Linked DNA regions of Drosophila melanogaster. The protein of the gene in region 1 interacts with the protein of each later gene in a pairwise test. Each region holds a gene or a part of one and is shown on either strand. Other genes may lie near its edges.

Region 1 (3,304 bases):
GTGAAACACACAAAGACATAGACACACACGTACACACACACAGATAGGCCGCTTTAAGCATTCGTGTGCGGCATTTTATTAATCCACGTCGATTTGTTTGTAAATAGATAACGATACGATATTGTATTGTATCCGCCGAATCCACAGATAACGACTCGATTTAATTTCAATTGTGCTTTTTCGCCGCTCCGCTCACGCACACTACCTCACACACACAGACGAGACCGCGTAGCACGTCCGAACGATCCGAGAGATGAAAAAGTAAAAAAGTGTTTGTTTTGTTTTCCTTCCTAGCGATGGCACGCGCATCGATGTTGGCTCGATACTTTCGCTGGCGCTTGGGATTATATACTTGCGCTGTTTTTTCTCTTCGGCGCTGGTACGGTCATACCGCGAATTGTACTCTCTGAGATTCGAGTTCGAAAGTACGTTTAGCATATGCAGCAACCAACTAAGAGATAAAATTCGAAATCAAGTTTTTGGCGGGGTTTATTGATATAGAAAATAGACTTCGAATTCTATATCAAAACTACGTTAATCAGCGAAAATTGTAAGTTAAACAAAAAACTATTGAAACTATTGATTATACACAGCGATTTTATATTTCAAAATATCAAACTTGATGGTAAAAGATAAGATTTAAGGTTTTTAAACCTTATTGAATTGCACAAAGTTTTCCGACTGATGCTTGATGTACGATTTGCGACAGTCCATTTCATCAGCAGGACGATTGTGTGGAGCCCAGACAGGTTCGCCCACAAAATAGCGACGAGTTCTGATAAAGTTCTAAGAAAAAACAATACAAATAGTTTAAGTTTGTATATAAGATTGTCAAAATAACTTACATTGGTATCCAAAGTAAAGCGGTGATATATGCCAGCTGGTATAATGATCAGATCTCCCTTGACAACCTTAATGCGCAACCAGTTGTCCTCATTGCTATAAAGAATAAATAGTTTTCCGTTTTAAAACAATTCCAAAAATGTTATTAGTGTGAGCAAAAACAATATCAGTAAGAATATGAATGCTTGAACTATTTAATTGGGAAAATGTGGCTGGGATACTATAAAATGCGGTGTAAATAAACAAAACTTACTCGCGAACATCAAAGTAACCGGATCCCTCCAATATCAGGCGAATTTCCTCATCCGTGTGCAGGTGTTCGGTGAAAAAGGCTTTCAACTTGTTGGCATAGTCTGGAAGGCACTTTTCCGAGCATGTGATCTGTAATAATTCGAAGTTTACCAAAGTTCGGTAGATGTTTTTCAAGAAAACATCGATCTTGCCTCATCATCGTAGGTGTAGCCACGTTTTGCCCTCAGTTCCGTGAGGGTATTATCGCTCTGGTACTCGTCCGCATTGATCTGCAAATGTGAATGATCAAGATAAGCTCGCCCCCAAGGTCACTTAAGGTTTTTAAAGTCGCAATTTCGCTTTTCACTTGCCTTAAAGTATTCCACGCCGGTCTTCTGGTACAGATCATCCAGTTCCAAGTAGGCAGGCGGATTGCGGTGGTGCTCCAGGCGCTGATCGGTTTCCTCCGTATCCATATACCAAACCTGCACCATTTTGGACTGTTTTAAACGGGTTTTCACGAGCAACGAGCAACAAATAGATTAAACAAGAAAAATTCAACTGGCATCAGCTGTTCGTTTTCGAATTTTCGAAATCGATAACAGACACTCAGGCGAATGCCGCTAGTGCTGTTAACTTAACATTCGAAAATGAATGCTGTTAGTTTTGTGTTCGAAATACTGCTATTTTAAAAACTTCATTTTTGAAATGTTCGATTTAAAACGTAAAATAACCATAATTTTAATAACCTTCAAAAGGAGTTATTTTTCTATTTTTTTTTTGTTCCATTATTACTCTTTATTATTTTACGATAGATATACGATTTTTGGGCAGTTTGTTGTATGTTTTGACTTTAATTGAATTTGTAGCGTGCAATTTTGCCTTTCGTTACTATTATCTAGTTTAATTTGTGTAGACATCTGACAGTTTGGTACTAACAATCTTTTAGTACGCGAAAATGCTAGGTTTCTGGTTTTATGTTACATTTATTGGCGTTACAAAGGAGCACAGGATTACGCAGTCAGTTTGGACAGTTCCTCGCGCAGCTCGGCCGTGTCAATGGCTCCCTTCGCTTGCGATTGCGGCTGGGCTTGGGCTTGGGCTTGGGATTGGGCCAGGAGGCGGGCACAGTTCTTCTTGTGCATGAACCAATGCAGCCGCTGGCATTCGCGATCGCAATACTGCACCGCCTTGCACTTGGAGCACTTCTTGTCCGGTTTCTCGGCGCCGCAGGTGCTGCAGTAGTTGCCCTCGTCCTGAAAATTAGTTTTCCAGATTAGAAAAGAATCATTTGATTATGAGATCATGATACCCACCGTAATCCACCTCATCCCATTGATGGCATTTCGCAGGACAGTCAGTGCTGGTGGGGCATCCTTGGCGCCAAATTGCGTTGCGATTTGCCGGAAGATGGTGCACTCTCTCACGGGAAACTCCCTGGCACATTCGCGCAACGTGTATTCCACATAGTCCAGCTGGCCCAGCTTGTTCTCCTTGAGCACCCGCTTCACAAACATCTCGATGAAATCGTTCTTGTTCGCATCGCCCGCCTCCTCGCCACTTTTCTCCTTGTGCTGCGCCTTGAATTGCTCCTCGCAGCGTATTAGTTCGGCCAAAATCCAGCCCTGATAATGGAACTTGAAGGCCAGCAGCTCGTTGAGGTCATGCGACTTCTGCATCTCCTTTTCGCACATCAAAGCCAGCGTCTTGCGCAGACTGGACAGGATCCTAAGCAATCCCAAGGACTGCACATTCAGGGCAATCCTCACGGGATGCAGGTTGATTTCGGTGACAAAGGCGTGGAACGATTTGAGTAAGCTGGGTGGTATATGCGGCTCCGTCTGCTGGCCATGCACTTGGGTGTAGTACTCCAAACTCGACTGGGTCACATAGTTGTTGATGGTCTCCACGCAGGCGTGGTTGCCCACAAAGGCGGCCATTTGGGCGGCGGTCCTGTTGACACTATTGATGCTACCCGGCTTGATGCCAGCATCCAAAAGAAGCCGGCACACATGTGTATTGCCCGATAGAGCGGCGAAATGCAGTGGCGTATAATCAGCTCCATGCTGATTGAGGTTTATGTCGGCACCCTGTGGAAGAAAAGGCGGTTATTTCATGTTTAGAGCCCAAGCGGTGGTTGCCTGGCAGATGTACCCACCATGTCCAGGAGCAGCTGCACCGCCTCGCGGTTTCCCTTGAAGCTGGCGTGGGCCAAACACGACATCCCGGT
Region 2 (3,423 bases), on another chromosome or scaffold:
AAAGTGGTAGTTGATTATTAGCTTTGAAAACCTGAAGCGTACTTGTATACAATTAGCATGAAATTAAGCTTGCAAACTTGGGGACCACCAGCTAATATATATTGTACATAGCAAATGCTTTTCATATAGCATATACCCATAATAGTTTGGAAAGTTTCCTTGTACCTAGCACTCACCTAGTTTTCCCATCACTGAGAGACACCGATTACGAGCAGGCTTACAAAGAGTGGACGGATACTGTAACCGGGTCTAGACCGGGCCATTTTGCAACCACTTCATTTCGAATCTAATAACTCCAATTACAAATGGCGGATGGGATAAAACCATTGTGCATATGCCGGAGAATCCATGACTGTGCGGGTGCGGTTTCGTTTCAGTTCCCGGGAGGCAATATGAGTGGGTGTCATGTGGGTGGCTCAACTTGTTGCTGGACTTTATGACATGCCAGCCGCTTTATCCAGGCTATTATTTCTGGGATTTTATGTGAAAGGACAACGCACGAATGCGCAGACAGGATTTGCCCGGCAAAAAGAGAAACTCGCACAACGGAAAGGTTCGGTTCCGCAGCATGGAAATGGCCGAATCCTGCAATTAGGCTGCAAATGAGTTTTTCAGTTCACATCGGGAATTTGTCAGCAAAACAAATTTTATTCCTCTACATGGATACTTAAAAGCTAGTTAACTTGCACGTGATGGGAGTAGCTAGGTGTTTTCTTTTTTCGATGCGATATTCTGGGATAGGAAGCGTTACCGTTGAAATTTCACTTGAGACCATTTACTTGACGCGGAAACGACGCAGATTGGGTGGCAGGTAATCCTGGCCAGCCACCACATTGGCGGGCAGGTACTCCGAGCTGGGAGCAGCTGCAGCAACGGCTGGGATGGCAGCAGCCTGGGCTGGAGACGAGGCAAAGTTCAGGACAGGAGCACGACCCTCGTTGGAGATGCGAGACACGCCGGGCAATTGGTTGTACTGGTTCTGGATGGCCAGTTGGGCATTAGCCGCATCCTCTGGAGTGCGGTACTTGACGAAGTGCACCTCTGGTTTGTTGGTGGAGCTCGTCTTCAGGGCATTCAGTTGCTTAGCCAGGTTGGACACATCGGACTGTTTGGTGAGAACATAGATGGCGGTCTCCTGCTGAGCAGACTGCTTGGCCAACTGGAGGGCAGCGCGCTCGAAGCCCTGATTTTCGGGAGTGCGAATGAAGACGACGCGGAGGTTCTTTTTCAGGGAGTTGGCGATCTGCTGGTTGCTGGCACCCTCATCGTACTGTTCCTCGGGGGCGGCGTAGCTGTAGAACTCCTTCTGGAACTCCTCTACCAAAGGTGCAATCTGGGGAGCAACAGGTGCTTCAATGGGCTGGGAGAGGACTGCTTCGCCACTCTGCACGGGCAGCACCTGCGACGGAAGTTCTCCAATCACCTGACCACTTCCGGGCAGGAAGGACAGACCCTCATCGGCATGTGCCACGGGTTGGTAGTTGTAGCCCAGTTTATCGGCACTGCAGCTCACGGCCAACAGACAGAGGACCTGCATGATGTTAAATATTAGTTTTATACTGTATTATTCGATTCCCTTATTTTCTAGACACTTACGATAAAAGCACGCATGGTGACTGGAAGCTGTGTACAAATGGAGCTGACAGGAGGAACTAATGCTGGGAGTTCAGCACAATCTGGCTTTTATAGTTGAAGACGCGGCACTGCATTTACCCCTCCCACGAAATAGACCCAGTTTTTGGCCAAGGTAGATAGAGAAATCCCCTGTTAACGAACGACCTTGCTGTCGCAGCGCTGTTGATTTGATTTCGATGCTATTCGACAGTCATTAAAATGCCCCACCGTTTAAATATGCAAGCGTATTCCCCGACCTAGGCCTATCGCCAGCCCGCGATCGTTTGTCTTGGCTTTGATTTTAATGCACTCTGCGACGGTTATAAATATGCATGGGATATCAGGGACTGTGATTGCAAATGCGGCGGACGCCAACGACACTGCTACATTATCTAATTGATTTGTGTTGGCTACGACAGGCCATAAAAAACACAATCTGGATGCTGCAGAGACGGACCAAACGGCAGCCACTGTGTTGAAATGCTCGGAAAATAAACAGCTACTGGCTTTGGCGATAATATCTGGTGGCTGGCGGTCACTGCTCACTGGATGGGATGCCAGTTGCCAGTTGCCAGTTACCAGTCGGCAGTTGGTGCTCCGGGTTGGCCAGCTTAAGCTGGTAATTATAATTTTCATAATTTTCCACGAGCTCGCGTTATCCACTGCGCAGCACGAGTCGAAAACGTCAATCTTTTTCGACGGTTCAGTTAATGAAGTTCTTTAACTAATTTAAACTTTTTCGGCATCGTTTGATGGCCACGGCGAAATAAGAATTTAAATTGTGGAATAGCATCTGTGTGGGTCGACGGGTCACCAAAGATACAAGAAAGAAATTAATAATTACAATCTTCGTTTGACAGTTCAGCTGGTATAAGGATAATAATCTTACTATAAGGGGATGACTTTTATCTGTATCTGCTTAATAGTATTAAGAATTTAAGCTGTGATATACCATATAGTTGTTGTGATTTCAGTTCCCAATGGATGCTTAAATTATGGGACTACCATTGATCGCACTACCATGATGACTCCACCCAGCGTTTGGCTGGCTATTAGCCGGGCCCGCTGCACAGCAAAACTCATACCAAAGTTGGTAGGCAAAAACAAAAAAAGAAAAAACAGCGCCAAAAATGCGCCTAATTTGGAGATGGCAAGCCAAACAAGCCAAGAGCCCCAAAAACGATGAAAAGATTGGAAAACACGCAAACTTGGCAGCTGCTGCTGCTGCTGTTGCTGGATGGAATCCGAGACTTGGACCTTGGACACACCTGTCCCAAAATTGCAGCAAGTCATGAGCTGCCTCCGGCCAGGATTCAGGATTAAAGCGCTTGGCTTCGTGTTCCCCAGTGTTTGGAGATACCGCGAAATAAAAAAAGCCACCTGAAGGGCAGTGCTTGTGGGTTGGCGGAGGATTGGGGAGCATTGTTGGAGAGGCAGCTTTGACGTGACTGGCAAAGTTTTTGGCAGGCGCCGCTAACGAGCGAAGCTCGTCCTCCGCCGCCCAGGATCTCATGTTGCTCAAAAATGCTTAAACTAAAACTTGCTCAACAGATTTGCGCTGGAAACTAGGAAAGAGAACAGCGGAGGGATCCTTTTTACGGCTGCACTTCGCCGTGTCATATGGCGCTGGCACTCGGGTGTAAGTGTGTGTTTGACCTTTGACACTAAAACAATTTGCAAAGCGAAATGATGTCAGCCCCAGTGTCCTGTCATCTCCGACCCCTTCTCCACATCACTGTTGTTTGCCGACTAGTGGCGTAATTTAGTTGAAACATTCTTAAAGTACCGCCTGTCGTAGAATCCTGCGTC
Region 3 (4,981 bases), on another chromosome or scaffold:
AGGTGGAGTGGCCATCTTGGAGCTTCATACTTGTTTTTTTTTTTCACCGATGGAGGCTCTTTGTGCTTCATCCGGAGGGGAGTATGTGTGAAGAGTAGGCTGATCAAACAGGCTTTGGGAAAACGGCAACTAAGTGGCAAATGCGACGCAGTTTCAACTCGAATCTAAATATGTAAGTATACACATACGTATGTACATATGTAGGTGTTGCCGCATACATATTATCAATTAGCAGTTCAGAACAGTTCACTGGCTAAGCAGATCGCTGATAACGTGGTCGAGAATCGGCGCAAACACGCGCCGCCCTCGGGAGCCATGGGAAATAGTTAAGTTGTTTGGGACTCCGCCGGGCCTTCTGGGCTCCGATCAATGGGTTAGTCGGACGTGGCCAGATAAGCGGGCTGCGGACCTTGAAGAGCACCAAATGCAAAGTGAACCGAGACTAATAACCGGGCGAGGTCAACCCATTGTAGCCAACCATCCAACTGACCTACCTTAAATGCTTAGTTCACTCGACTTCGAAAGGGACGTGACTCCTGGGGCTTCACTCCAACTCCAGTTGCTGCGCTTGCTCTGTTTTTTTTTAGTGCACTCAAACGAAAAAAACTCGATCACCTGCAGTCGCGAGGAGAGAACTGTGAACCGTTTTGCACAATGTCTGCGATCGCACTGAAAACGAAACAAGGCACGGCGTCGGCATCGAGTGTTTTTAGTTTTAATCAATTTTAAATGCGAAGGCGTCGTGTTTTGCCGCTGTGTGAGTGGCTACCACGCAGCACACACACATGGGAAAGCCGCTCGTGCACTGGAAGAAATGGCACGGATCTGAAATGGATTTAGGTACAAGTTTCCTATTCATTCAGTTAATATATCCAGAAAACATAAATACTAAATGCTACTGCTTAACTTTGGGTACATTAAATTCAATTCCTTGTAATGAAATAACTAGGTACATACGCATTGTTTGGAATGTGCTTGTTTCTCCAAGTGTACGTCATATGTGCGGTGTAGCAATGAGTAGTATTTCCAAGAGTTTCTTGGGGTGCTGCCATAGTCTGGAAAGCGTCTGGTTTCTACATCTGTGGTACACTGGTACCAAACATTTGTTTGTTTTGATCGCCGTTTCTTTTAGTTGCTTTCATACATATGTTTTGGACTGTTTTGGCTAAATCTGTGCGGTGGATACACTTACCTTCTACCTGGTGTTCATCGCAGATCAGCCTTGTCCTCGCCGCACTTCCGCCCTCGCTCTTTGTCACTCTTCTCGGTCTTGCCTAGTCTTCCTTTCCACTTTTGCCTTTTTATTGTGCTCCGATGCATGTTGATTGTCGTGGACTTTGCACCCTCAGTTTTCCGCTGTTGTAATGCTCGTTTTACGCATTTACAGGAATATAGTCGACTAGGAAAGCACTCTTTACCCGTTTAATCTGGATTTGTCAGCCGATAATTCAGTGGAATTAATTCTGTTGAATTCATAAATAAATAGATAAATTGTATGATTCATTAACCTATTTATTAATTGGTTGATAGCTTTGGGATAGTGATTAAACTCAAGCAATTCACCGATGCAATCTATTGTCTTGAAATGATAAGAATTGAAAGAATGTTGCTATGAATTTAAAAATCTTTAATGAGTGGCTGCCACTTTAATCTAATTCCACGTAATCTTAACTTTCTGAAGGTGCTGGAAACCCATGACACTTTAATTTTCAGAACATTCAACCTAACTATAAATTCAAATCGAGTGGCAGCTCCGATAACGGTCACAGCTGCTAAGACCAGGGCGGCACACTGTGTGCTGTCGCCCGATAACTTCTTTGTTTTGAACTCACGGGAAAGCAACCCTGCGTGTGCTCTCGCCAATTGGAACTGCGAATATACTGCCTGTGTATATATGTAAATGTTTATAATTAGCAATTTTTCTACGAAACAAACGATTAAATAATGCAGTTTTCTGCCTACTAAATGCCAAATACAACACACAGACTTCGAGCCACGAACGGTGATGTGATCAGAGTACTAGAGTAATCCAACGAAAAACGCGAGTCCATTTTAAAGCGAAGTATAAAGTGCCAAACAAAGGGAGCAGTCGAACCCAGTCCAAATCCAATCATTATACTCGGTCCGTGACCTGCCGACGAGCCAGCGAGTACGGCAATAAGCATGGGCAACGCCAGCTCCTCCGTGCACATGCAACGCGAGCGCCACAAGTCGACCGACTTGTCCACGCCGAGCTCTCCCGCACATTTCCGCGATTCGATTGGTGGAGGAGGAGCGGGACAGGGCGGGAGTGCTGGCGCAGCAGCTCTGGGCGCTGCAGCGGGGGCGGTGGGAGCTGCGGGGGGTGGAGGAGGAGGCGGCGGAGGCCAAGCTTTCTCGTTCGACAAAAAACATACGGCAGTCTTGAACGAGGGCTCGTCGCAAGAAGACGACGACCCGTACTACACGGGAACTGGAACTGGATCCACTAGACGAGGCACCGCACACGACGACGCGACATCAGCTGTTACCCGAGACCACTCCAGCATGGACAACAACGAGGAGGAGGAGGAGGCAGCGGTAGGAGCGGAGCCAGCGACTGGATCTCAGTTAACCGGCGATGAGGACGACATCCGGAAGACGGCACTGCCCACAGTTCTGCGGTGGGACGGCGGCGGCAAGAACGTCACCATCTCGGGCACATTCTCCGATTGGAAGCCCATGGCCATGGTGCGCAGCCATCAGAACTTCGTGACCATCATAGATCTGCCGGAGGGCGACCATCAGTACAAGTTCTGCGTGGACGGCGAGTGGAAGCACGATCCCAAGCTGGTCAGTTGGGCGGAAAATCAATATATGCAGCAGGCTATTCAGTGTTTTTGATTCGGGCGCCCGAATGACGCAGTTACCGATTTTCGCCCCGGGTTGTGTAATCGCCGTAAACAAAACGAAGTCTCCCAGTAATCGTAGTGGATTTCAATTGGGTTCAGAGATGCTCATCCGGCTTTAGCTTTTTTTTTGTTTTTTTTTTGAGGAACCCCGTTCAAATGCTTCGCAAATAACAAATGCAATTAAAGTTACAAGTTTAAGGGAGCAAACTGCGATAAAACCCATTTGTAGATTACTACTAAATCCGGTTGGATGTCGCTAGTTTTGTGGACACAGTTTATCTAAGTGACCATTGAACATTGCTATCAGGCGAACAATTTGAACTATAGAAAAGATTTAAGGGAATAGTAACGTTTTCTTAGATAAAATATTTTTCTGGATAACAAAGTTCAGGACTGTGATAGAATATATGACCTACTTCGCAATGTTAAAATAGTTGCAGAATTGCATGAAGACGAAAAGCAATCAGAAATGAATTACTAAATGCACAGACTTTAAATCTTTATTAAGAATAGTTCACGAAGCTCACGTATTTAAACCATAATGGTTTTAATGACTAATAAATAATGTAGTTTATCTGACATTTAAATTAGTAAGCAAAACGAAAGCAAACCATTGAACAAATTTTTGTATTATATATATATGTAGCAAGCCAAATTGTTGTATATAATTCAAAATTGCTCGAAACAAGTAGCAACAGTACGTTATTAATTATAGAAAGCAGTCATTGCCCAGCCACATTTTCATGAAGTATTGCCCAATTTTTGTTTTATCGCAAACTCAGCTATCAAGTTTCATGAGTTTTATTGAACTCAACCCGAGGCCTGCAGATATTGTCCCAATTGCCCAAACTATTGTTACAGACAATTTGATTATAGCTTATCGGTTTGCTATTTTAGAAAAGCGTGGAGAACGCCGAGGGACAGAGAAATAACTTAGTGTCCGTGCGAGAATCCGATTTCGAGGTGTTCCAGGCCCTAGCCAAAGACAGCGAGAACGTGACCAACTATGCGGAGAAGGAGTACTCGCAGGAGGTGCCGCAGGTGAAGCCCTGGGAGAAGGTATCTGGCCCGCCCGTTCTGCCGCCCCATCTGCTCCAGGTCATCCTCAACAAGGATACACCGCTATCGGTGGGTATTGTCGCTGTCTCGAGAGCTACCGACCGTAACCTTACCCTATTCTGTTTCAGTGTGAACCCACTCTGCTGCCGGAACCCAACCACGTGATGCTTAACCACTTGTACGCCCTGTCTATCAAGGATGGCGTCATGGTCCTGAGTGCCACGCACAGGTATCGCAAGAAGTACGTCACCACGCTGCTGTACAAGCCCATTTAGGCAACTCGCAATTGGTATTTTAGCTGTAGGAACATGGTTTTTATGAGGGATACCACGTCCCGCTTGTCAAATTTACCTTATTATGAGTAAAAGTGTTTTAGTTTTCTCTCTATTAAGCGTTGTATTTTTATTAGTTATAAATATACGGAACTTGTAAAAATATAAGATTATTGCATTGTGTCATAATTTGTAATTTGTATTTGAATTTACTACGAATCGTACAGCTTATTTGCAATTTCAACCTGATATGTCACTAAAGTCACGATCTAAGAGTAATTTAAGCAACTATGCATATTGACTGACTGATAATTTGGTTCCCTGTTCGCTGTATATAAGTATAACAACACTTTGGATTTTGATCAACGTTTCATATCACATGTGTACAAGAGTCTTCGCCGACGGCAATCTATCGGAATACAAACATTCTCGTATATCTACGTGTTCAACTGGACAAAAACTGAACTAGACTAGCGGACCGACCGACCGACCGACCGACCGACCAGCTTCACATCAGCTTGACCTTGTGGTCCAACTGATCGGCGTCGATCTTCTTGGCGAACAGCACCGGTGACGAGGAGGCCAGCGCCACCGTCTGCTTGGCCAAGAATCGCTCGTGCATCTTGTTGGCCGTGTGCTGGAACTCGCCATCCTCGTCGAACAGCGCCTTGGTGAAGTACTCCGTGAAGAGGCGGCCCATGTACTGGTCTTTGGTGGACGGCCACCAGCCCTCGAGGAAGCCGATGTGCCCGCCACGAGCCGTAATCACGATGGCCACAT

Evidence for each region.
Region 2: the proteins of Adi1 (region 1) and TwdlD interact in a two-hybrid assay, tested with the Drosophila melanogaster proteins (one large-scale study listed by BioGRID).
Region 3: the proteins of Adi1 (region 1) and alc interact in a two-hybrid assay, tested with the Drosophila melanogaster proteins (one large-scale study listed by BioGRID).

Annotation. Positions count from the first base shown.
Region 1 is NT_037436.4:10,661,710-10,665,013, reverse strand, and holds Adi1 (acireductone dioxygenase 1), read right to left. Parts: upstream 1,639-3,304; 5' UTR 1,569-1,638; coding exon 1,446-1,568; intron 1,365-1,445; coding exon 1,287-1,364; intron 1,225-1,286; coding exon 1,097-1,224; intron 940-1,096; coding exon 846-939; intron 787-845; coding exon 649-786; 3' UTR 579-648; downstream 1-578. Other genes in the region: CG8003 (uncharacterized protein), read right to left, coding at 2,088-2,330, 2,391-3,164, 3,233-3,304. UniProt on the Drosophila melanogaster protein: Catalyzes 2 different reactions between oxygen and the acireductone 1,2-dihydroxy-3-keto-5-methylthiopentene (DHK-MTPene) depending upon the metal bound in the active site.
Region 2 is NT_033777.3:26,638,263-26,641,685, reverse strand, and holds TwdlD (TweedleD), read right to left. Parts: upstream 1,662-3,423; 5' UTR 1,612-1,661; coding exon 1,597-1,611; intron 1,532-1,596; coding exon 776-1,531; 3' UTR 632-775; downstream 1-631.
Region 3 is NT_033778.4:9,134,782-9,139,762, reverse strand, and holds alc (alicorn), read left to right. Parts: upstream 1-1,829; 5' UTR 1,830-2,163; coding exon 2,164-2,811; intron 2,812-3,767; coding exon 3,768-3,998; intron 3,999-4,057; coding exon 4,058-4,204; 3' UTR 4,205-4,388; downstream 4,389-4,981. Other genes in the region: Hydr1 (alpha/beta hydrolase 1), read right to left, coding at 4,710-4,981.